Cricetulus griseus: one gene and its partner. The protein of the gene in region 2 purifies or fractionates together with the protein of the main gene of each other region. This does not show direct contact. Links are inferred from orthologs where the notes say so. Each region holds a gene or a part of one and is shown on either strand. Other genes may lie near its edges.

What was found.
Region 1: the proteins of Asic1 (region 2) and Pick1 purify together in Homo sapiens (affinity purification with western blotting; 3 studies listed by BioGRID and IntAct, with this or other methods). This does not show direct contact. The link is inferred for Cricetulus griseus from reciprocal best matches to the Homo sapiens genes ASIC1 and PICK1.

What each region holds. Positions count from the first base shown.
Region 1 is NC_048595.1:376,343,584-376,352,574, reverse strand, and holds the start of Pick1 (PRKCA-binding protein), read right to left. Parts: upstream 5,782-8,991; 5' UTR 5,520-5,781; exon of another isoform or gene 5,370-5,519; intron 5,214-5,369; 5' UTR 5,151-5,213; coding exon 5,110-5,150; intron 4,189-5,109; coding exon 4,077-4,188; intron 1-4,076. UniProt on the Homo sapiens protein: Probable adapter protein that bind to and organize the subcellular localization of a variety of membrane proteins containing some PDZ recognition sequence.
Region 2 is NC_048595.1:396,128,010-396,136,743, reverse strand, and holds the start of Asic1 (acid-sensing ion channel 1), read right to left. Parts: upstream 4,325-8,734; coding exon 3,665-4,324; intron 1,868-3,664; coding exon 1,717-1,867; intron 1,147-1,716; coding exon 1,019-1,146; intron 412-1,018; coding exon 261-411; intron 1-260. UniProt on the Homo sapiens protein: Forms voltage-independent, pH-gated trimeric sodium channels that act as postsynaptic excitatory receptors in the nervous system, playing a crucial role in regulating synaptic plasticity, learning, and memory.

The DNA of each region.
Region 1 (8,991 bases), about 20 Mb from region 2:
TTTTTATTGATTTTTTGAGACAGGGTCTCTCTACATATCCCTGAAGTCACAATATGACTGCTTCTGCCTCCCTAGTGCTGGGATTAAAGGTGTGGGCCACTAGACCCAGCCTTAAAATCTTTATTTACTTAAAGAATAAAAATTAGGGGATGCAAACCAGGCAGTAGTGGTGCACTCCTTTAATCTCAGCACTTAGGAGGCAGGGGCAGACAATCTGTGAGTTCAAGGCCAGCTTGGTCTACAAAGCTAGTTCCAAAACAGTCAGAGTTGTTACACAGAGAAAGTCTTGAAAAACGGGGTGGGGGGTAGGGGGTGGTGTGTGTGTGTGTGTGTGTGTGTGTGTGTTAAGGGCTGGAAAGATGACTCGGTGGTTACGAGCACTTGTTGTACTTGCAGAGGACCTGAGTTCAGGTTTCAGCACCTATATAGTGGTTTACAGTCATCTGTAACTGCATTTCCAGAGGATCTGATGCCCTCTTCTGACCTCCATGGGCACCAGGCATGCATGGTGTGCACACACATACGCAAAGGCAAAGCATTCACACATAAATCTAAAAAAATAAACATTCTTCAAAAGTTCTAAGTGAAACTTATTTCCAAACTTATTATTTTTAAGTGTTGGGGATGGACCACTCTAGGCACATACCCTACCACTGCGCCTCCCCAGCCCTTTGACCTTCACTCCTGAACTTGAGCTCATGTTCAAGGAGTAAGGGAACAACATTAACAGAAATTCAAAAGAGATCTCTAGAATATACACTGTCCATCTGCTCTTCCTCAGAAAGCCAGAGGACGTGCTCCATCCAGATGGGGACGGAGGCCAAAAGGGGGGCCTGGGACTGGGAATGAAGAGCAAAGGTTCCCAAGGGGTTAGACTGAGGACAGACAGAAGCCTGAACAGGATGGGAAAGTCTGACTGTGAAAAGTCTATTCAGAAAGCAAGAAGATCACATGGGGGCAAATAGCAGGAAATACCAATGACAATAAGAAGCTCTGCTAAAAAGAAAATGGGCTGAGCATGGCGGTACATGCCTCTAAGTCTAGCACTTGAGGTATAAGCTGGAGGATCAGTAGTTCAAGGCCAGCTTCAGCTACATGGGGAATAAGAGGCCAGTGTAGGCTACATGAGACTCTGCTTTTTTTGTTTGCTTGCTTGTTTTTGTTTTTTGAGACAGGGTTTCTCTGTATTGCTTTGGGCCCTGTCCTGGCACTTGCTCTGTAGACCAGGCTGGCCTCGAACTCAGAGATCCACCTGCCCGAGTGCTGGGATTAAAGGCCTGCAACTCAAGACTAAAGAGGTGGCTCAGCAGTTAAGGGCACTGGCCACTCTTCCAGAGGAGCTGGGTTGGAATCCCAGCACCCACATGGTGTTTCACTACTGTCTATAACTATAGTCCCAGGGGATCTGATGCCCTCTTCTGGCCTCCAGAGGCACCAGGCATGGATGTGGTATACAGATACACATGCAGGCAAAACACACACACACACACACACACACACACACACACACACACACACACACACACACACACATTAGTAAGTACACGCCTTTAATCACAGCACTCGGGAGGCAGAGGCAGGCGAGTTGAGTTTGAGGCCAGCCTGATGATATACAGAGTGAGTTCCAGGATAGCCTCCAAAGCTACACAGAGAAACCCTGCTTCAAAACAAACAAACAAAAAATAATAAATAGAGAAAGAAAGACACAAAGACACCAGTTCATCAGAAAGTTCAACCTAAGTGCTACAGAAGGGTGAGGCTTGTTTCTGTCCCTTTTCCATCCGCTTGGCCTTCAGAGCTAGACAGGGATTTAGAAAATGTTTCTCGAATGTTGCCTGTGGTGCTAATACTGAGTCAAAACAGTGACTGTGATGGGAAGATAGGGTAAGAGGGAGATATGTGGTTTTAGAAGAGAGTTGAACTCTTATCTCCTGAACCAAGAACAAGTGATCAATCAAGAAAACAAACAAAACCAGGAGGGCTGGAGAGGTGGCTCAGCAATTAAGAGTGCATCCTGATTTACAGAAGCCCCACGTTCAGTTCCCAGTCCCCACTTAGCTTCAGAGGGATTTGACACCTGGTCTGCATGGACTCAAGTGCACACACATACGCACACACACATAATTAAAAGTAATAACAAAACCAAGGAAAGCAGGGGAGTCATATCTGCGGCAGTAGCTGAAGGGCAGGGTGAGAGAGGGCACGAACTGCTGGCAGACACAGGCCTCCTGCACCTGACTTGCTATACGCAAACACAACAAACCCCATCATGTTATAATGCAGTTCATGCAAACAAGCATGCCCTTCGGGTCCTGAACCCACAGGGCTGAGGGGAGTGGCACAGATGCTGAGCAGGCATGTGACTAGGAGGAACCTGGGAAATGCCTCCCTCATGTCTCCTGGGGCAGAGGAGACCAAATCACCCTCATAGGTAGAGGCAGGAGCAGATGATCCTCCCAAAGACCCAATGTCCTATCTGCCCGAGGCCTACTCTGCTAGGTATCCCAATAGGGTAGAGTGTGGATCCTCCCAAGGCCACAGAAATGTCACAGATTGGCCAGGCACCTGGTGAAGGAGGCCTCGTGACAGGCCTGCCCCACCTGCACAGCAGTGGCTGGATCACAGGGTGGCTCCCCTAACACTAACATAGCAGCTGGGAAAGGCGCAGCTGCCAGGAACCATAGCAGCTGTGACTAGGTGCAGCTGCCTAAGTGCCTGGCCCTGTGCATTTATTTAACTTTCAAAATTTCGTATGTATGTGTGAATGAATGTCTGTGTACCATATGTATGCAGGGACTGGAGACAACAGAAGACAGCATCAGATCCCATGGAACTTGAGTTATAGGTGTCTGTGACCTCCTGATAGGAGTGCTGGGAACTAAACATGGGTTACATACTTTAAACCCTCACTTTTCAGATCAGAAAACTGAGACCTAGAGTGAATAAGAAACTCACTGGTATTCGGGGATATTCATGTGAATCTTGGGCTACCATTTTCTTTCCTTTATTTGCTGAGACAGGGTCTCAAGTAGCCTACATTGGCCTCAAACTCATTCATTGTGTAGCTGGGCATGACTTAGAATTGTTGATCCTCCCTGCCTCCACCTCTAAGTACAGGGGCCACAGGTATATGGGGCCATGCCCAGCAAGGACATTATTATTTCACAGCCTTCCTACTTCAGTTGGCAAACAGATTCATCGGAGACTGTTACTGAACGTCTATTACACACTAGTCACGGACCAGCACTAACTTCAGTTGAATACACATGATGTAAGGCCAAGAGTCTGCCAGATAGCTAGATCAGAACAAGCTGTAAGCAAACAGGTGAAAAACAATAGGGACAGTCCCACTTAGAGTGGTGGCCAGCCCTGCTAAGAACAGACCTCAAAAACAAGAAGGCCTGCTGAGATTCCTCGGCTAGTGCAGTGCTTACTATGCAAATCTGATTGTTTGTGGATTTCAAACTTGTGATCTCACAGTAGAAAATTGACTGATTGAGGGTTGTCCTTTAACCTCTGTATGTTCGCCATAACATAAGGGCACACACACTCACATACACACACACACATCAAACACACATAAAAAAGCAAATACCAATCATAAAATTTTAAAGAAACAAGATAGACTTTTGTGTCTCTGTGTATATGTTTCCACACACAAGTGTGTGTTGGTCAGTCACTCTTTGCTTTCATTCTTCAGGTATCAACCACTTGTTTTTTCTTTTCTTTCTTTCTTTCTTTCTTTTTTTTGGATTCAGTGTTTCTTTGTGGCCTGGAACTCACTTATTAGGCTAGACTGACTGGCTAGTGAAGCCCAGGGATCCACCTGTCTCCACCTCCCCAGCACTATGGTGACAGGAGCACACTACCACACACCGGTGTTTTACTCAGGTGCTTGGGATCAAACTCTGCTACTCAAGCTTGCATGGCAAACACTGTACTGACTGAGCCATCTTCCAGCCCCTGGAGCTAGCTTTTTCAAAGTGGAGAAACGCACCTCTTTCTGTCACACCCAAGAAGGGAGGTGACTCACTCTACCCAGGACTCTGCCCCCACCTCCAAAGTGTGCCTCATACCTGGACAATATAGAGACAGGGACAGTACTGGGCCCCTCCTCCAATGCTGATCCCAATCAGGTTCTGAGCATCCTTCTGCAGGGTGACCTTCCCAGGCACAGTGGGGATGCCTCTGCAAATAGAAGCAAGTGAAGGTGAATTCTGGAGAAAGGATGACTGAAAGGAGCAGGCTACACAGAGTAGCCTTTTCCTACGCAAGAACATTGGTACCAGAACATGCTCAGGAGTCATGACTACAGGATCGAAGCCCAGAGCTGCCATATCCGCTATGGGACTCAGGTCAGGAACTTTCTCTGCATCTGTTCTCTTCATCCATAAAGTGAAATGAGGCTCCCTGGTCAGAGACCTTACATGAAATGCGCATGGAAGGCTCTCCCCATCTTAGTCCAAGGAAACAAACTTAAAGATTCAGCCGGGCTATGTCCTTGTCCCCATCTCAGGCAATTGCAGGACATTATAGCCACCTTCCTTTTAGAATAAAGTTACTCAACTATCCTCCAGCCATCTTCCAATTATACTGTCAGTTACCACCCAGCATTGGCTATCAATGAGCTTAGGTGTGTCTTGTAATGAACAGGCTCAGGTGTCAGCTTGGTTACTGAAGACCGATTTGCTAACAACCAATGACTGCTCACCCCTTACTAAGGATTAAAAACACACAAGGCCATGAAATCTACTCCACACTCTGGGAGTACCTTCTAATTCTTGAAAGTCTACCTTATTGGTCATCTATGCTGGGGAGGAAGGTCAGGGATATCCCCATGCAGCCTTTGCAACCCTGGCTAGGTTGCCACCTTCCCAGACCACCCCAGCAGGACAGCTCCACCTGCTGTGTTGTGGATGGATCATGCCATAGGGCTTACACAGCCTGAATCGTCATTTATCTGTTAATCTGTCACACCCCTCAGAAGTGATGACTGGGCCCATTTCTGCTTCTGGACGCCGAGAAGTAAAAGTGTGTGGAGCTAGGACACCCAAGGACACGAGGGACCTGGGTCCTCAGCTCCCAGGTCTTGGGGAAGAAAATACTCACAATTTATCCTCCTCGATGTCATAGTCTAAGTCTGCAAACATGGTTCCAAGAGTTGGGGCCGACTGGCTAACTGCCCAGCTCGGGAGGGGAATGGGGAACTGGGTCTGGGAGAGAAAAAAACAGGGCTTCGGGGAACTGAAGTGCCCAGATGCCAGCCCCAAGCTCCCACCCCTCCCCCATCCAGGACAGCGGGCCTCTGGTCCTCCCCTCCGAACTGGGGTAGGGAGCCTAAGGCTGGAAGGCGGGCAGGTGATTCTTACTTGGTACAGGGGACGACCCCAGGCCAGGGCGATGGGCTCGGATTCCAGAATCCGCCCTGCGGTCTCCAGACCCTTGGGAGCCTCTTCGGTCGCTCACCGAGAGAGTCGGTCCCACAGCCAGGCCTGGGCCAGGCTGGCACCTGAACCCACCTGCCGTTCCACCTGGCGGCGATCGCGACTGTCTCGTCACTTCCGGCAGGACGCGGAAGTCCCGCCTCTCCCCTTGGGTATTTGCCCCAATCCCTGCAGGCAATCCTTTTCTCTCCGCTCCGAGACTCTCTGAACCAGGAAAAAGAACAAGTGTTGGTGGAAGTTCGCTGTTCGTGTGAAAAGAAGGGAAAGGAAGGAAAGGTCTAGACATTCTAGCGGTCCCGGACTCCTCCCTTGGCTGTGTCGCCATCTTGGGGAGGGCAGGGCTCTTCCCGGCTTCCTTAGCGGCACTCTGGGGACCACGCAGGTCCGGCGGTTGCCGGGGCAACGGAAGCATCTTGGGGCCGACGAAGTTCAGTGAACTGCAGACCTCACAGCCTTCGCTCTCACATTTGCAGTACCGATTCCTAAGGAAAGCCAGTGTTTCCTCTACCACAAAGCGCCAGGGCTGGAAGTCCCCTCAAGATCTCAGTCTCACAGAGAAATTAAGTTCCTGAGAGAGGGAGTAACTTTGTTCAGAGATGCTTACAGTTGGTGTTAAGATCCAGATCTTGGTCCTGAAACCCCTACCGCCAGTCTGGGGCCCTTTGAACATCTGTGGTAAACTTGGAGCCACGAGAGGTATATTCTGTGGGCTTTTAAAGGACAGATTCGGTTTGGCTTTCCTGCACGTACCTCAGTTTCCCCACATACATCCTATTAGCATTCAGTCAATATTTCTGAGGTATTTTGGCAAAAGCTCCATCATACCAAACCCCCTCCTTAGTCCCTTGAGCCCTGGAGTCCTTTTGAAGATACAGCCCCCATGTCCCTCAGGCTCAACAAACACCATCAATGCCTCCCAGCTGGGGAGGCCAATGTTCTCCAGGCACCGACCCCTGCTGCCAACGATTATGTCAAATAAAATGGCTGGAAGAGTATGACCCTGCTAGGACCACAGTGCTGGAAACCACCTCATCCAGGCAGAGTGGCACCAGTGCCCTTACACAGCGATTAGAGGGTACATTAGGAGGCATGTCCTTGTGCTCCCAGATAACCACTAGGGGAACCAGGGGTGCTAAACACACAGGGTTGTCACTTGAAGGGAGAGATGAAGAACCTGTTTGCCCAGAAGGCAGGCAATGCACATGGTTAACTGCCTAGTGATCTTTGCATTGTCTGCAGGCTGAGACCACACTTGATACTTCCCCAGATCCTTATCTTGAGCTTGTTTCCTCAGTTCATCGATGCATCCCATCTTTATGGAAGATATCACTTGTCCTTTACAGTGTAGTCATGTCTCAAGGTCTGATGTGCACATTACTGAATAATTATCACCAGGATACTTTTTTACTGAAATGTGCTGATTATATATGCCCAAAATAAACTCCCCAAGGGGAAGACTCCAAAGGCTGCACCAGCACTGGCCACTGAGTCATATGAGCCAAACTGCCATCTTGCCTCTCCCAGATTGACACCTTGCTGACCTCAGTGTTCACAGAGACCCCACAGTGGTATGGGATGACTATCCACATGTCCTCTGGAAGCCCTCCCATCACCTGCAGGGAGCTGAACTATCTCAGCAGGTGTGTTGAATGCCACCATGGCAACCACCTTCCCCTGTGCCCACTGCTCTGTGGCTCAGATCACTGTCAGAGAATCCTAGTACATCTCCACCTCCTGACAGGGGAACAAGTCCTGGCAGCTACCCTGTGCAATGGAGAATGGACTCTGAGACACCTTCCCTTTATTGTATGTGGTCAGTGGCAGGAGTGGCTTTGCCAAGCTCTGTTTTCAGGATGGTGGTTTTGGTTTTGAGATAAGATCTCATGTAGCCCAAGTTCACTACCTGAGAATGGCCTTAAAGTTCTATCCTCCTGCCTTCATGTCCTTGGTGCTGCTTGCCCAATTGATGTGGATCTGGGGATCCAACCCAGGGCTTCCTCAGCTTCTTTCCCCCACACAACCCTAGTTCATACCCAGGCTCTGCAATTTTATAGCAAGGAATTTGGGGCAAGTCACCAGCACAATCTGGCTGGGAGTAAATGCTTGTAGAAATTGACATGGTTCTCTATGGGGGACCAGGAAGGACGATTGGGGTGGCCTCAGGAGGTCCAGAGGACTGGACAAGTTCAAGGAGAAGTGACCAGGACAGCAGGAGTGGCCCCAGTTTCCTCCATTATGCTGGAGTCACAGGCCAGTTAGGTACTGAACTGGGCTCAGTGGAGCAGCACCCTCCAGCCCAGAATTTGCATCAAATTCACCTTTCCAGCCCCTAGATGAACAGCATAAGTCCAAGCCCCACCATTTCACTGGGAACCTTAGGCAATTGCCATTTTTCTACAGTCCTTGGGTGCCTGCAGAGCAACCATCCTCCCAAGGCAACCAATAAAGGATGGAATTTAAATGTGGTTTGTGAGTGAGCTCTGTCACACAGGTGGCAGAGGTCTCATTGTTGCCTCACAGGAAAACCATGTAGTCCAACCATCTCAAAGGGCAGGGCTGACCATGTCTCCAAAGGGCCTTACAGTACTTATGCTTCTGTGTGTGGCACACCTGGGAAGTGTCCTGAACTCGGATCCCTGGGCTCTTCTCAGACCTATAGAGAGAATCTGGAGAAGGGTCCTGCAGGCTGCATTTGCACAGTTCTGTGGGTGTTGTCCAAAGATGTCAGAGGTCCAGAATGTAGTATCTAGATACCAGAAAGGGCTGTTCAGTGTACCAATACTCCTGAACAAGGGCTTCCCTATCCCTGGAGAGCAGGATACTGTGTGGGCCCAGAGGAGTGCTCTAACCAAGGCAGGCTTCCTGGAGGAAGAGGCTCTCCATCCTACAGGAAGTGCTCTGTGCCAGCAGAGGAAGAGAGGAAGGTAAAGGCTTCTAGAGGCAGGCTGTGAGGATACAGTGTCTGACCTCAGAGAATCTGTGTGCCAGGTGAGATAGACAGCTGGGAATGGTGACTGGAGAACAAGGCTACCACGCATGTCTCATGGGATCACCGGCAAGCTTCACATGTGGAGTATTCAGCAGAGACCTCATAGAGACTTCTAGGCCTTTCATCAAGAGGAGCAGGGCTCCTGGGGTTTAAAACAGAATGAAGATAACCACTCATTTCAGGTTCCTTGTCAAGCTCCGACTCTGCCTTTCAATTCATTCCTGCTTGCACAAGCCCCCTGTTCTCCATTCTCTCCAAGCAGACCCTGACCTCTCTTTTATCTTAGTCATGCCACTTAAAGCTTGCAACCATGTCCAAGTTGCAGCCTCTGGGTCCACCAAGATTGCACCTCTGTGGTTCCCTGCATCAGATTCATTCCCCAGAGCCACCTACTGCCACGCATCCTTTTCCTGGGGTAGTGCTCCCCCTGGTGGCTAATTTCAGTGCTGCCTAAGAGTGCCAAAATAGCCATCACCCGGGTCAGAGCCTGCTGACTCAGGACTGACTGCAGAGCCTGAGAGTCTACGGTGTGTGGACAATGGGTAAGGCTGGTCATTT
Region 2 (8,734 bases):
AGGAGGAAGCTGGAAGATGGGACAGTAGGAGTAGTCACCCCTTGTGCGCCGGAAGTGACCTACTCTGACAGTCTACCCCTTCTGGACCCTTCCATCCCTTCCCGTAGACATAGGCAGGGACTGAGAGACAGGAACCAGAAAGATAAGAAAACAGAGTGATCTGGGACCAGGATTAGGGAGGCCAATATGGCTGGGGCACAGGTGAGGGGCAGTGCAGCCTGAGATAGCCCAGGGCTCTGCTTGGAATCTTGGGGCCTGACCTGGCATGTGTACCATACGGCAGTTGCAGTTTTCCACCAGGTAACGTGTCTCACAATCAATGCGGCAGGCGGTGATACTGTAGGAGTCGAAGAAATCCGAGTCCATGGTAACAGCATTGCAGGTGCCCCAGGGTGAGGGCAGGTAGATGAGCTGCTGGGAGAGCCGGGGAGCTGGGGAAGTGTGCGGACTTCTCCCCCAACTCACCGAGTGGACTTCTCTGGCAAGATACAGAACTCAGGAGTCGTATCCCTGCACCTCTAAAGGTCTTAGGGTTTATAAAGTATTTCTTCCATTTTTGTCCTCTCTCTCTCTTTCTGTCTCTCTCCCTGTGTGTGTGTGTGTGTGTGTGTGTGTGTGTGTGTGTGTATGGTGTGTGTGTGTGTGTGTGTGTGTGTGTGTGTGTGTGTGTGTGTTGTATGCACGTGAATATGACTGTGCCCCATGCATAGCTCAGAAATAGAAGTAGATATTGGATATTTCTCTCTGCTTATTGTTTTCAAGGCAGGATCTCTTACTGAACCTGTGGATTTTTGGCCAGTTAGCCCCAAGGATCCACCTGTCTCTGCACACCCCCAGCCCAGAACTGGGGTTACAGGTGTGTACCACCCTGATTTTTACCCACATGTTAGGGATCTCAGTTGAGGTCCTCATGTTTGTATAATAAACACTACCTGCTGAGCCATCTTCCCAGTTCCCCAGAACCCCATCTTGACTCCTCAACACACAACCCCAGAAGTAGCTTTCTGCAGCCCCTCACCCTCTGCTCCTGGCAAGACACAAAGGTCTGGAAGCCTGGGGCCACACCAAAGCCCAGCTGGTCGATGAAAGGAGGTTCATCCTGGCTGTGGATCTGCACTTTGATACCTGCTTCGAAGGATGTCTCGTCTGTAAAGATGAAGACACGTGAGTTAGGATGGTTTCCAAGTCCCTGGTCATCTTCAGAGCCTGGGGCATCATAACTCCCCTGACAATAAGCAGTCTCCACTGGGACTTGGTGAGGAGGCTATGGGGTACTAGCACACTTCTAGCCTCCTGTGTTAGCAGTTCCATAGTACCCCAGTGACCTCTGCATCCTACACACGTCTTTTCTTACCTGGTCTGTGATGTTTCTTGGTGTTTCAGATTATTTCTCCTGGAGGGCCACTGTCTCAGCCACTCTCCATTTCTCCTCACCCCTTTCTCCTCTCTCCCCATCTCTCTGCCCCTATGTCCCCTGAGACCAGACAGGCAGGCAGCCCAAGAAGAGAGGGAGATATTTATAGAGTGAGTGGCGGCCACTGATGGAAGAGGATGGCTGGTTACCTTGGAGAGTAACTGAACCGGGAAGGGGGAGCCAGGGAACCAAGCGTGTGGAAGTCACACAGGAACAAAGACAGATGCTGAGTGATCTTGGGAGAAAGGACAAGGGTCTGAGTCTGGGGTTCAGGGAGGGGGCTCCTGAACAGGGTAACATACCGGTCTCTCCCCACACAGGCAGGTATTCATCTTGCTGGATGTCCAGCATGATCTCCAGGCCATTGCCAGTCCCACCTTTCATTGTCTTCAGCCGTGGCCGCCCATCTTGGCCCGAGTTGAATGTGTAACACTTCCCATACCGTGTGAAGACCTGGTGGAAGGCAGTAGAGAGCTTGAGAGTCCTGATAGGCTTCTGGTTGGGAACCACAAGGAATCAGATGCAGAGAGAGAGAGAGAGAGAGAGAGAGAGAGAGAGAGAGAGAGAGAGAGAGAGAGAGTACTGATCCCCTCTCCTTGCCTCTCTCTTGCCACCCTGGCAGTGGCTTAGACCCTCCATGATCCTAGCTCTTGCCAGGACTCCCTTTGTGCACCTTCAGCCTAGAAGTGATAACAATTTGGTCCCATTGCTCCCTTAATCTTACACACAGCTCTGCAGACAGCCCCCCTTTTTAAAGTCTTTTCAACTGAACTATCAAGTGACAATCTTTTTCTTGCTAGGATCCTACATATACATCTCCATCACCATGATCCTATAACCACTGAGGCTTTCTGAAATAGATCTTCAGATCTTTGTTTTGGGATTTCAACCCCTGAGCTAGAAATCCTCCCCCAAGACCTTCCTCCATACCTAAGCCACTCAAAACCCTTTAGTTTCTTTCCACTATCAGCCTCTCATGGCCACCTTTGTTCCATTATTACTAGGATCCGACAGCAGACCCAGTTGCCATGCCAAGAACCAAACTTACTCAGGCATATCACCTCCTCCCCCAAGACTCAGGACTGAGCACCAAGGCACAGCACATTGGAGTGTTCAGTAACAAAGCATGGCATGTTAGGGTGCTCTTGAGCTCTGAGGGCCTCAAAGCAGATACCTTCCTTGTTAGTGATCCTGTATTTTCTGCCCTCCCTGAGGCCCAGTGGCCAAAACCACCAGGTCACAATCATTTCAGGGACTGAGATGACACCCATTTGCTCCTACATGGTAGGACATAGAAGGGTGGGTATGGAGAAAGGCCAGGCATCTGAAATCTGCAGGGACCAGAGGGGCATCAGGCCAGATAGGAGACCAATGGAGAAAGTGACATTTTCAATGATGGCTTCCTTCAGGAAGAAAGTCCTGGCCACTTAATCAGAGCTGGGAGCATGGGCTTTGGTTTAGAGGGTTCCCAGATTCATAGACAGATAGATGGACCACACACACACACACACACTCTCTCTCTCTCTCTCTCTTTCTCTCTCTCACACACTCACAATACTCTCACACACTCACATATTCTGTCTCTGTCTCTCTCTCCCCCCCCCCTCTCTCTCTCTCTCTCTCTCACACACACACACACACACAGAGAGAGAGAAGAGAGAGAGAGAGAGAGAGAGAGAGAGAGAGAGAGAGAGAGAGCTGGTAGAGGATCAACTCCAATGGGGAAGAGCACAGAAGACAAAGTAAGGATGCAATTAAATCCCTGCTGTGAGATTGGCTGACATGGTGTTGAGGTGAAGGTAGGGGCTATCCCCTCCATCTATGACCCCCTTCTGCACCTCTAGAGACTAGGTGACCCCCCACTATCACTCCAGGGATGATAGTCAACAACTGGTCAGAACATAGCTCCCACCCCACCCCAGATTATAGGCTGATTTCGTAGCTAGAGCAAAGTTGCAGGACTGTGCTACAGCATGAAGAGGTCTGGGGAAGAGCAGATGAGACTAGAGGATAGTCCAGGCATCAGAACAGCAGCCAATTACAATGGGGACATATTTCAAGACACAACTAGGAAGAGCTGTGAACCTAGGGCTCTTAGTCCAGCTCCAGACTCTGAGATTCCAGGTGAGCTCTGGCCCAGGTCAGGCAGGTTTCAGCAGTTTTCAGCCCCTGTCCCAGGAGCAGATGGCCAGAGAGAGAGACCATGCCATATACTCTTGGGGTACTGTGCTAAGCATGGGCCCCACTCACCACTGAGAAGTTGTGGGGACCACAGGGGCCCCCACAGTAGGAACAATAGAGCAGCATGTCCTCCAGCCGGTGGCAGGAGCGATTGTAGAAACGATGGAGATTAAAAGGCTCCCCGGAGAAGGCCTCTGGCCCCGGTGGAGCAAGGGGCACCCCAGGATCATCACTTTCATCCAGCCCTAGCATGGGGGCCAGGTAGAGCAGATCAGGGTAGCTGAGCTGGGACAACCGCACGGCATTGGTGTTACAGAATGTGACCGCCGGGAAGACCAGCTCTGTGGTGGCGACTTCATCTAGCAAAGTCACATGTGGATAGCTGAGGTAATAAGCAACTCGGTCCCCTACCTGGCACAGGAAGGCACCCAGTGCTATGACAAAAGCCACTGCCCACAGGGCCTGCCTTGGCCCTGGGCCCCCTTCCACAAAGACATGGCTGGCACCATGGAGGGTACAACTGTTGGCGAAGGCCACCAAGTCCCTAGGTGAGTCTCCGTCATCAAGCTCCCTCTTCAGTGCCTCTTTTTCCTTCTCTTCCTCTTCCTCTTCTGATTCTGAGCTGTCCTGCTGCTGCCGGTGGTGATGAGGACCCCAGATATCTCCCATGGATCCTGGGGCCTCTTCTCCAGAGGAGAATGACACAGAGCAAAAGATCTGGATGGGCATCTTCTCCAGGGGCAGGAGGATGGTGCCGGAGGGAAGGAGATGGGGCTTCTGGTGTGATCCAGCAGGGCCAGCTAAGGAGCCCTTTGGCTAAGTCTCCACTGGCCCAGCTGTTTGTTCTCCCTCACCAGCGCCTCTGTGGCAGTGTGGCTGAGCCAGGGCAGGCACAGGGAGGAGGACCAGACTGTCCTGCTAGAGAGGGCGGTGTCTGTGCTGATGAATAATTGATGGCAGTGGGAAAGGGAGGCCTGCTGGGGAGGAGGGGAGCTGAAGACCTTTGCCTGACACTGGCTCCAGCCAGCAGAATGAAGGCTTTTAGCAAAGTGAAATCCCTGGGAAAGACTCCTCAGGTGAGGTGACAACCAATGCGGTCCCTTCCTCAGAATGACCTCAGTTGCCTCCCTCCTGCAGGTCATCCATGCTTACTCTTTCCTCCAACTGCTTCTGGGCATGTCCATCGGTCTCAGCATCCCAGTTCTGCCCTCTGCCTTATTCTCACTCGATCTGGATCTTCTTCTGGGATACCCAAGCCTCAGGTCCTCCATAGACACTAGCCAGGCTCTCTAATTCCTCTCCACCCATCACTCCTATTGTTTCAGCCTACCCTCAGGCCTCTGGTCCCTCTAATCATTCCTTTGATACTTACTTAACTTCCAGTCACCTCCAGTTTATGTTCCTCCCCAGCCTCGCATCCCTGCAGTCACTCCCTTGACCCACAAGTCCCCTCCAGCTAGTCCCTAACTCCCCTTCTCCTCTGACCTACAGCTCTATTTTAGGCCCACATCCTTCCCCCAGGCTCACCACATATAGTCCTCATTCCCTCCCCCACCCTTTTTTGTGGCTTGTGGGGTGGCCCAGGTTCCATTAGCAGCAATTTCTCACTGACCACAGACTCAATTCTGACCAGTTCCCAGCACTGGGGGAGGGACTCTTGAAGCTGAAAAGCTTGCTGACAGAAACTTCTAACCCTTCCACAGCTTGCCTTGCTCTCCACCAACCACACACACACACACACACACACACACACACACACACACACACACACACACACACACACAAACACCCCCCCCCCAAAAAAACCAATTTAGAAGGGGGGTGTGAGAAGTTCTCGCCAGTGGGTGGAAGAAATTGTGGCCAGTATGGAGACAGAAGGTCCTGGGGCAGGAGAAATGTTGGGAATCAGCCTGAGAGCTCCCCCCAAACCCTAGCATTAGACCCATCAGTCCTGAGACTCCCTCGGGTCTCAATGTCCCATTCCCTACCCTTGGAATCCTGACCTCTCTGTGCCCTGATTGCCTAGGGCCACTGGTTGAGGAACTTGAGCCACCAGCTAAGTCTCTAGGGCCAAGAAGGTGACCTAGGAGAGGGAAGGGAGGGAGGGAAACAGGCAAAGCAGATTAACTCTTTCTCAGCAGTTCCAGGAGTAGGTTTGAGGCTGAACAAGTCTACCTGGGCCTTCCCATTCCTTAGGGAATTTAAGGCCTAGCCCTACTCCCCAACCCCCATCCCACTTGTAGGAGACCCGGGATGTGTTGGGATGAGAGGCAGGGTGCTGGGTTCTAGAAGAGCTGGCTGCTGGGCTGCTCATGGCCTCAGCTTTACTGCTAGGACACAAAACCCCAGAAGAAAAAGCCTTGAGGTCCAGCCCCTCTTCAACCTTCCACTGCCATTAGACATTCCTCAGTTCTTTTGTTTTTTCCCTCTGAATGATAGACAGCCTCCCTTGTCCCTGTCTTCAGTTCATGTCATGTGATCATGCCCAAAACTCCTCATTGCTTCTAGTAAAGCTCACCCCTAAGATGGACCTATACAACAGAAATCCCTTCATTTCTGACACAGACCCCCAATCCAGCATCCAGCTACCTGAAGCCTCCCAGACATACTAGGCTCACCCACGGCCCCAGGACTTTCGGTTGGCTCCTACTCATTTTTGCTCATCTTTTTATTTTGCCTTCTGTGTGAGTATGTGTCTGGTGATCAGAAGACAACTTTCCCAAATGGTTTTCTTTTTCCATGCTCAGAATCAGACTCAAGCCACCAGGCTCTGTGCTTTTACCTGCTGAGTCACCTTTGCTGGCCCTGATGATATCATCATCACTATTATTATATTACTATTATTATTGTTTTGTTGTTTTTTTTCAACATGGTCTCACCATGTGGACCAGGTTGGCCTTGAGCTCACAGAGATCCAACTGTCTCTGCCTCCCAAATGCTGGTATTAAACGTGTACCACCATGTCTGATCTCTCTGATCTATTTATTTATTATTTATTTAATGTCTATGGGTATTTTGCCTGCCTGTGTGACTATGCACCACAGTGTGTGCAACATTAAGAAGGTCAGGAGAGGGTGTTGGATCCCCTGGAACTGGACACAGACCACCGGAAGCTGGTGGAGAGCCACTGTGTGGGTGCTGGGGATGGACTAAGCATCCTCTAGAAGAGCAGCTGTGCTCTTCACTGCTGAGCCAGCTCTCCAGCTCCAGCCCTCTGAACTTCCTAAAGACAGGCTCTCCCTGTGTTGCTGTCCTTGAACTCCTGGGCTCTTCATCTTTCTGTCTCACCTCCCAAGCAGCTGGGTTTATGGCCGAAGCCACTATACCCAGCTCCCCACTTCTTTTTCAATACCCTATTGTTACATTCCTACAACAGGAAGTCTTCCTTGCCCAGGGTTCAGATAGAAGGGTCTAGTCTCTGCTCAAGGCATTGCAGATGTGAGGCAATCCACAGATCCTTCAGCATGGAGCCAGTAGGAGGGAATGGATCAAGGTAGTGGGAATGGATCAAGGTAGAGGCTACATCAGGAAAAAGAAGTGAGAAAAGACTAAACACATAAAAGTGGACTGGCGCCGGGCATTGGTGGTGCACACCTTTAATCCCAGCACTCGGGAGGCAGAGGCAGGTGGATCTCTGTGAGTTCGAGACCAACCTGGTCTACAGAGTGAGTTCCAGGACAGGCTCCAAAGCTACACAGAGAAACTCTGTCTCAAAAAACCAAAAAGTGGACTGGTAAGATGGCTGCCAGAAAAGAGCTTGCTGACATGCCTGAGCACCGAAATTTGATCCCTAGAACTCGTAGTTGGAAGAAAACTGACTTCCACAAGTTGTCCTCTGACCTTTATATGCACACACACACACAAACTAGATAGATAGATAGATAGATAGATAGATAGATAGATAGATAGATAGATAGACAGATGTGATACCCAACAAAACCCCACAAAAGTGACTGGGTATGACCTGGTGGTGGTGGCACACGCCTTTAAATCCAGTACTCGGGAGGCAGAGGCAGGCAGATCTTTTTGAGTTGGCCTGGTCTACAAAGCTACACAGAGAAACCCTGTCTCAGAAAACCAAAAAAAGAAAAAGAGACTGGATATGAAGAGAGATCAGCTATCTTCAACTGTTGTCCTCTTTCATACACATCCATGGATTCCCTTTCTGTCTGGTGCCCCATGAACATCTTTTTCCCACCTGCCAGGCCTTATTTCTCAGGGGGGACAGAGCCTGCTTTGTTGCCCTTCCTCAGGGGAGTTTTGGAGGTAAGTTCCAACCTTGACTTGTGGGGTGCTGGCGGACGTTGACCATTGAATGCCGGGATGTCTTTTGCCCACTAGAGGGCACTGTCTCCCTCCTTCATACATCCTGGAGGTGACTGACTATACCTTGGCTTCACAAAAAGAGGAAACTAAGGCAGGGAGCTTCAGGCTGAGAGTCCCCACCAGAGAGGAAGCTGTGATGAGCACAGCAGCTTCAGAAGACAGTGAGCTGAAACAATTCCTCCCCACACCTGCACCATGCACTCCTACACAGCAACACACAGGCACAGTCACACACTCAATGTGTAGGCATACACACACACACACACACACACACACACACACACACACACGTGTGCTGGCTCATCCACACGAATGTGTAGGCACTCACAGACATATGAACATGCCTGCTAACGTCCCTATTACTTTCTCTCCCCATTACCTCTGTCCTCGTTCCTTTAAGTTCTCTCTTGCTTTCATTTTATTCAAGTAGGCAAATTCAAAAGTTTTCAGTCATGGGAAGGTAAGAAGAGGGCCAGGATGCCGGGCGTTGGTGGTGCACACCTTTTTTTTTTTTTTTTTTTGAGACAGGGTTTCTCTGTGGCTTTGGAGGCTGTCCTGGAACTAGCTCTTGTAGACCAGGCTGGTCTCGAACTCACAGAGATCCTCCTGATTCTGCCTCCCGAGTGCTGGGATTAAAGTTCTAGGCCAGCCTGGTCTCCAGATTGAGTGCCAGGATATGCTCCAAAGCTACACAGAGAAACCCTGTCTCGGGGGGGGGGGGGCAGGAGTCACACGCAGACTGTGGGAACACACAGGGCCCTGAGGAGGTGATCAGTATACACAGGCAGACTGACACTCAATTCACTCAATTCT